2 linked regions of the Ovis aries genome follow. The protein of the gene in region 1 purifies or fractionates together with the protein of each later gene. This does not show direct contact. Links are inferred from orthologs where the notes say so. Each region holds a gene or a part of one and is shown on either strand. Other genes may lie near its edges. The genes, in order: KATNIP and CILK1.

Region 1 (3,814 bases):
CTCAGCAGAGGCAGCGGAGCCCATGCAGGGAAACTGCGGAGAGGTTAGGCAGGCTCCCAGGTCCTCAGGGAGACTGGTGCTTCTGGGACTGGGGGGCAACACGAGTTCTAGACCCCACCCCCCTGCTGGACTGAGGTTCAGAAGGCAGCACCAAGGACTGTCGGTGGGAACCCACCTGGGGATGGGGCTGGGGGCTCTCCTTGGAACCAGGTGGGGAGGAGGTGAAAAGGGAAGGAGTCATAGCTCAAACGTGCTGGACCCCTCCTGCCACCTGGCAGTGTTGGCAGTGGGTCACCTGTGTGAACCCTCTGTGTTAGCCCTGTGAGGTGGGCACTGCTAGCACCCCCATTTCACAGCAGAGAACACTGAGGCACAGAATGGTTAAGTAATTTGCTGGCTCACACAGCTGGGAAGAAGCAGAGTCAGGTCTAGTGAGCACAGCCAGCCTGGCACTCTCACTTGCCTGTTCTCCGGGCAGGACCACCTCTGACTTAACCCCCTCGGGATCACCCTCCCACTTCTCAGGCTCCTCGGCCTGCCTGCTCCTGGGGATGCTGGGAGCCAGTGGAGGGCAGGGCTGCGGAAGGGCTGGCACATGGGATGCAGTCAGCAGCAGGAGGGGGTCACCCTGGCACAGCCCATCCCCACGAAGCTGTGGCTCTCCCACAACCTGCCTTGCCGTTCATGCCCTCCACACTTGAAATGGGTGGAGGAGGGAACAGGTACTCTGTTCTTGTCATTTTACAACCAGGGAAACTGAGGCAGGAGGGGGTTTTTGAGGTCTGGTCACTGTTCAGTCCTCTACACTGAGTTTGTGACAGATGCTTCTCCATCCTGCCAGCTCCCTGAAGGTCACCCTCCCTGCCCGTTGCCCTGTCTCCCAGGGCCTGGAGAAAGCTTCTGAATTCTTCAAACACACATACACACATTCATATTGCTGTTTAAATGAAAGAAAATTTCATGCCACATACATTTTGATAGACTTCAGTCTCGGAGGGGGAAAAATCATTTTTTTCTCTCGTTCATCTCTATAAACCTCTCTCTCTATATATATATACACATATACACACACACACACACACACACACACATATATATATCCCTGTTATCTTTGTAATTATTTCCCTCTGTTCTCCAGAAAATTACGTCTGTTTTTTCCTTAATAACATGTTCCAGTCATTTTCCAGTTTCAGCTCCTGACCAGCTGGGGTGACCCCTATTACATCGGTCTTACCGGCCTGGAGCTATATGATGAAAGGGGAGAAAAAATCCCTCTGTCAGAGAACAGTATCCTTTCTAGGCAGAAGGGGGGCCCCAGCCAGACTGCAGGGAGCACGGGAGGGTCCGGAGGAAGGAGCAGAATCCTTGAATGTAGAGGGAAGTGTCCCTGAAGGAACCAGACCTGGAAAAAATGCCACGGCTGTCGCTGCTCAGTCACGTCAGTCGTGCTGATTCTTTGTGACCCCATGGGCTGTAGCCTGCCCGGCTCCTCTGTCCATGGAATTCTCCAGGCGAGAACACTGGAGTGGGTTGCCATGCCCTCCTCCAGGGGATCTTCCCAACTCAGGGATCGAACCCAGGTCTCCCACTTTACAGGCGGATTCCTGACCAGCTGAGCCGCCAGGGAAGCCTGTAAATATTGGGGTGGGTAGCCTCTCCCTTCTGCAGGGGGATCTTCCCAGCCTAGGGATTGAACCCAGGTCTCCTGCACTGCAGGCAGATTCTTTACCAGCTGAGCCGCTAGGGAAGCGCACCAAAGCGGCAGCAACCCCTTTCCACCTAACCCGTGTTTTCCAGCCTGCCCTCTGCATACTTCCCTCTCCTTTCCTTGAAACTGGCCACCCCTCCACTCTCACCCCCACTCCCCTCAGCCTCCTCACCTTCCTTTTCCCCCAGAACATGTCTAATTTGGCTGACACTCCTCCAGCCGCCCCGAGCAGCAGACAGCGGCTCAGCCCAACCCGGCATCCCCTGCCAGGCCACGCCATCCGCGTGATGGGGGCTGGCGGCCGCAAGAGGGGCCCACAGTGCCCGGGGCCGAACACACTGCTTTGGGTTATGACAGCTTAGAGGCATCCTCAGATATCGCCGCCTTCCCCGACAGCGTCAACTCCCTGGAGGGCGTGTGTGGGGACGTCCGGACCCCTGACAAGCTCATCGACCAAGTGAACAACACCAGCGACGGCAGACACATGTGGCTGGCCCCCATCCTGCCTGGCCTGGTGGGTTCCAGAGGCTCCCAGCCCTGGGGTGGATGGGGGTGGGGCTGGAAGGGGGGTGGTGTGTGTGGCACTTTCTGTCCCCAGTCTCAGCAACACATCTTCCTTCCAGGCCAAGTTAACCTTGAAACAAGTCAGAATGCCCGGGGGCTGCCAGGAAGGCTCAGGTGTTTGCTAACACATCTTCCCAGCCAGAGGTCTTTCCCTTTGCTCTGGGGGTGCTGATTATCAAGTGGGCCTCTGAGGCCAGGAGCCCAGCACAGCAGGCCTGGGGGTGTGGGTCCCTGTGAGCCTCCCTCTCCAGTTCTCTTTCCTCTCTGCTTCGCTCTGCTCTTCCCTCCAGCCCCAGCCTCTCCACATTCCTGATTTCTGCTCCTTCTTTGTGTCACCGGGTACGTGATCCCTACTTTGCCCTCTCTCTGTCCTCAGACCTGCCTGGTAAGCTCTTCCAACCCACCAACTCAGTCTCCCAGATCACAGACTCTACAAGTGGTCCCACCCATCTTTTTGCTCCAAAGCAAACCTGGGGGTGGGCCTTTGCTCATCTGGGCCTGGCCGATGGCGGTAGCAAGGGAGGTGAGGGACCACTCGGGATGGGATGGGGCGGATCGCAGCCCCCCAGCCTGTCAGCCACGGGCCCAGATGCCTAGGTAGATGTGAAGCAGGGGCTGGGGTGCCCACCCCTGTGACCCCTGGAAGGAAGACAAGGGATACATTCTCCTCTCAAAATCCTCCCAGGAAGGGGCAGCACCCCTGCGATATTCCGTCAGATTCCCTTGAGCAGAGGCTGACCCCTCCGGCCCAGCCCCACCACTGCAGACGGGAAATGCATAGATCTATCAGCCTTCACACCTGGGGCTGCAAACTGGTGGCCCCTAGCCAGTCTAGCCTTCGGCCATCTTGACCTTGACCTTCAAGCATTTGCCATTCTTTCACACGAAGACCTCTGGGTGTGGGGCAATCTCCCTGTCTGTCCCTCTCTCAGCTGGACTCAAATATTTGTATCCAGTTGAGTCCCATGGGCACTCACTTGGAGGCTCCTCATCTAAATAGTTTCCATGGTACAAGCAGAGAAGGCTGACCTTTCCCGTACCCCACTACATCCTCTTGGGGCTGAAACCCTGGGCCTGGGTCAAAGCTAAGCCTGCAGCCTATGGCCAACAGTGAATTCTATTTGCTTTATCCTATCTTGCAAGGGCTCCCCCACTAATATTTGAGAGTCTATGTTGGGGGTGGGGAGCTGGTGGGGGGCTCTTGGGTCCCACTTTACTAGCTGATTTTTGCCACTGATTGGAACACCGCCCCCCTCCTGCCCCCACTACCCCACACCAGAGGTTCAAAGATCTCTGCTGAAATTAACCAGCACCGCCTTCCTGGCCAGTCAGGGATGCTTTTCATTTGTGATTCGGGGAAAGGACAAACAGGGGTCAAGGCTGTGCTGATTGCTCCGGGGGGGCGGGGTGGGGGGCCGTGCCTCTTGACTCTGGAGTTGGGGGCCATCGCCCTTGGCCCTGAGACCCCGGACTGTGTTTCTGGGCCTGGCCTGGAGGAAAAGGAAGGGTGTCCCTGATTCTCCGCGGGCATTTAAATGAGAG
Region 2 (3,814 bases), on another chromosome or scaffold:
TACAGGTGGTTATGGCTAGGTCCCAGAGTCACTGAGAAAGGTTACGTTATATTCAGTGACTTCCACTCCAAAAGACTAGGGAATATTTCAGAGAGAATTGCAAACCCCAGCACTTTACGATTTATTCCTTGGTGATGCAGAAAGCACAGTTATCTTGATGGACAAGGTTTAACTATAATATGTTTGACGCTCGTGGCATTTCTGATGTTAAAGCGGATGGACCTGCTTATTTTTATTTTTATTAAAGTATAGCTGATTTACAGTATTGTGTTAATTTCAGGTATACAGCAAAGTGATAGTTTTGCATATTTTTTTTCTCAATTCTTTTCCGTGACAGGTTGTTACAAGATACTGGAGACAGTTCCCTGTGATACACAGCAAACCTTTGTTGTCTGCTGTATTTTCTTATTTTATATTTGATTTTTCAGAGTCCTCTTGGAACATTATGTTGGCTCTCTCCATCTTATTTATCTTCTTTCTATGGAATGAAGAAATGGACTTATAATGGTGAAATATTGTATTTAAGACACAGAGCAAATAAGTTACAAAGCCAGAATATTGGCAGAAGTAGCAGAGGGCATAGCAGTGAACCTGGCTGCTTTACCCAGATAATTTTGAGTGTGGCAGCCAGTCCATACATTTTACACTATTTAGGACAAGGAGAATCGCAAGGGGTGTGACAGATTCAGGATGCTGTTTTCTAGTTGGTTTGGGCAAACTACTGCAGCAGACTGGTTAATGCGAAAGCTAGCCTGTGACCCTGAATGGTGTCAACCTTCCCAGTCAGATTATTCTTCTGAAACAGCCTCATGTGTCATTCCAGGCTCTTCGATATCCTTACTTCCAGGTGGGGCACCCCCTGGGCAGCACCGTGCAAAGCCTCCAGGAGTCAGGAAAATCTCAGAAGGACGTTCTGGAAAAGGCAGCTGCACCGCCTCACATAAAGCCGGTCCCTCCTGCCCAGCCCCCAGCCAAGCCCCACACACGCATTTCTTCCAGACAGCATCAAGCCAGCCAGCCCCCTCAGCATCTCGTGTACCCCTATAAAGCCGAGGCTCCCAGGACGGACCACCTACCAGAGGACAAGCCCAGCCCTTTGCTCTTGCCGTCACTCCACCCCAAGCATCCTCAGGCAGTAAGCAAGACAGTTCCCTCAGGAGCCCTGTCTGGCTATTCCTTTGCTGACCCCACTTCTTCTTCTTCTTTTAATAATTTTGTTGATTCATTTTGACTGTACTGGGTCTTCACTGCTTGGGTGGGCTTTTCTCTAGTTGCCGCGCATGGGCTTCTCACTGCAGTCGCTTCTCTGGCAGAGCACAGTCTCTAGGCACATCGGCTCAGTAGTTGCAGCTCCCAGGCTCTAGAGCTCAGGCTCAGTAGTTGTGGCGCACGGCTTAGCTGCTCTGTGGCATGTGGGATCTTCCCAGATCAGAGACCCAACCCACGTCGCCTGCATTGGCAGGCGGATTCTTCATCATCGAGCTCCCAGGGAAGGCCCTGACCATACTTCTTGCATGCAGTATTTTCTTTTTAGCATGTAAGGTCTAATTATAATAGGTTGGTCTTTTTGATATCATGGAACTGTGGAAAGAGCCTTGGCTTTGTAGTTAAGGGTCTAAATTCAGGTTCTAGCTCTGCTTGTGAATTATGGGGGTGGTGTCTCCAGACTGTCCACTTGACCCCAACCCACCTAAAACAGCAATGTGTGTTTATAAATTTCCTATTGTAGCTAATTCGGTAGTGAAATAGGATCCAGGTCTGCTGAGAAGGCAAATAAGGTATTAATTGCATTGTTTTCTATAAAAGAGCAGGTGATTGACACTTTAGTTACATTCTCTTATATTCTATTTAGGACAGTGTCAATCATGCTAACTCTTTCAGAGATGAGCCCTGGATGAGAATCCAGCTACCTTCCTCGTATGCAAGAAGTACCCTAAATGTCCTTTTTTAAAGCGTTACTTACACAGCCTAGTGTCCCCATTGAATGGAAACTGATGTAACCTGTGCAGGATAAGTGAGAGAGGTCAGGGACTGTTTTACACCATTGCCTTTTCCAATAAGCAGTGCATATTGGGGAAGACTACACCCCAGGACCCTCCTCTACACAACCGAGGAAGTTCACAATGGGGCTTACTCATGGGTGAGCTTCACTAATGCCAAGTATCGCTTCTCCTCCCCACCTCCCCACCCCCTTGTATACACAGAAAATTCTCACTGGCCTGGAGCACAAAAATGGTGAGATCAAGCCAAAGAGTAGGAGAAGGTGGGGTCTCGTTTCCAGGTCAACGAAGGATTCCGATGACTGGGCTGACTTGGATGACTCGGACTTCAGTCCATCCTTCACCAGGATTGACCTGAAAAATAAGAAGAGACAGAGCGACGAGACGCTGTGCAGGCAAGCGTGGGCTCCCATCTGCGCACTGACTGTCTCTGGGTTTGTGAGGTTGTCTTCACATCCCATGCGCTGCCCAGCTTGTGCTGACCAGAACCTTCTTCTCCCCGTTCAGATTTGAGAGCATTCTGGACCTGAAGCCCTCGGAGCCTGTGGGCACCGGAAACAGCGCCCCCACCCAGACGTCCTATCCCCGGCGCGACACGCCCACCCTGAGGTCGGCGGCCAAGCAACACTACCTGAAGCACTCTCGGTACCTGCCTGGTAATAACACTTCCTGCCCGTGCTCTGGTCCCTGATGAGAAATCGTGTCCCCGGAATCTCGAGTTTTGCAAAGCTTCTGTTTTGGACGGTGGTGGCACCACCATAGAAATATTTGCTGGGCTTCCCCGGTGGTGCTAGTAGTAAAGAATCCGCTTGCCAGTGCAGGAGATGTAAGAGACACGGGTTCGATCCCTGGAATGGAAAAGATCCCCTGGAGGAGGGCACAGTCAACCTGGCTTCAGTATTCAGGCCTGGAGGACCCCATGGACAGAGGGGCCTGGCAGGCTATAGTCCATAGGGCCACAAAGAGATGGACACAACTGAAGCCACTTAGTACACACAGGCTTTATATTTTCTTTTTCTTTTTGGCTGCACCTCGCTGCATGTGGGATCTTAGTTCCCTGACCAGGGATGGAATCCGTGTCCTCTGCAGTGGAAACTCAGAGTCCTAACCACTAGACCGCCAGGGAAGTCCCAGGCTTCCCATTCTTTTCTTGCCTAAGATAAGAAATTTGGTAGAGGAAATGGGGTCCAGTCCGAGTGAGTGAGGAACCAGGGAGAGCCAGGCAGCTCGCCTGGGGTCTCTCCAGCCCTGAGTGCTCTCAGGAAACCAGATGGGAGCTTAGCGCCCCCATCTGGCTTAATGTACCACAGGGGTTAAGTGAAGACACTCTAGTTGGAGAGTGCCCAAGCATCTCTCCAGGTTCTCTGTATTCTAAACATATAGCATTAGCCCACTGTTCATTCACAGATTCATTCCATCAGTCAATCTGTATTGACATCATTTTGTGCCAGGCGCTGAGAATATGGTGGACAAAACAGCCAACTGGGGCCACTGGGTTGCCCATTTTCCAGGGTCTCTGTTCACATCACAGTCTATGCAGTGACTTTAGCCAGCAACCTGTAGACAGTATCCTCATCCTCATATATTCTAGTGGTGGGAGACAGACCCTGAATAAGTGGGTACGCAGTAGTTGCAGGTGGTGACAGCGGTTGTTAAGGGTGATGTAATGGTGGCAGGAGCTGGGCCCCAGAGATTAGCAGGGAACTCCATGTGCAGAGGGATGTGAGAACAGCATGCCTGGCGGAGGGAGCAGCCAGTGCAAAGGCCAGGGGGCAGGAAAGGGCTGGGCTCGTGAGAGGCCGCATGGCCCGATC

Evidence for each region.
Region 2: the proteins of KATNIP (region 1) and CILK1 purify together in Homo sapiens (affinity purification with mass spectrometry; 3 studies listed by BioGRID and IntAct, with this or other methods). This does not show direct contact. The link is inferred for Ovis aries from reciprocal best matches to the Homo sapiens genes KATNIP and CILK1.

What each region holds. Positions count from the first base shown.
Region 1 is NC_056077.1:25,834,814-25,838,627, forward strand, and holds part of KATNIP (katanin-interacting protein), read left to right. Parts: intron 1-1,176; coding exon 1,177-1,287; intron 1,288-2,082; coding exon 2,083-2,222; intron 2,223-3,814. UniProt on the Homo sapiens protein: May influence the stability of microtubules (MT), possibly through interaction with the MT-severing katanin complex.
Region 2 is NC_056073.1:24,906,081-24,909,894, reverse strand, and holds part of CILK1 (serine/threonine-protein kinase ICK), read left to right. Parts: intron 1-823; coding exon 824-1,135; intron 1,136-2,204; coding exon 2,205-2,395; intron 2,396-2,507; coding exon 2,508-2,656; intron 2,657-3,814.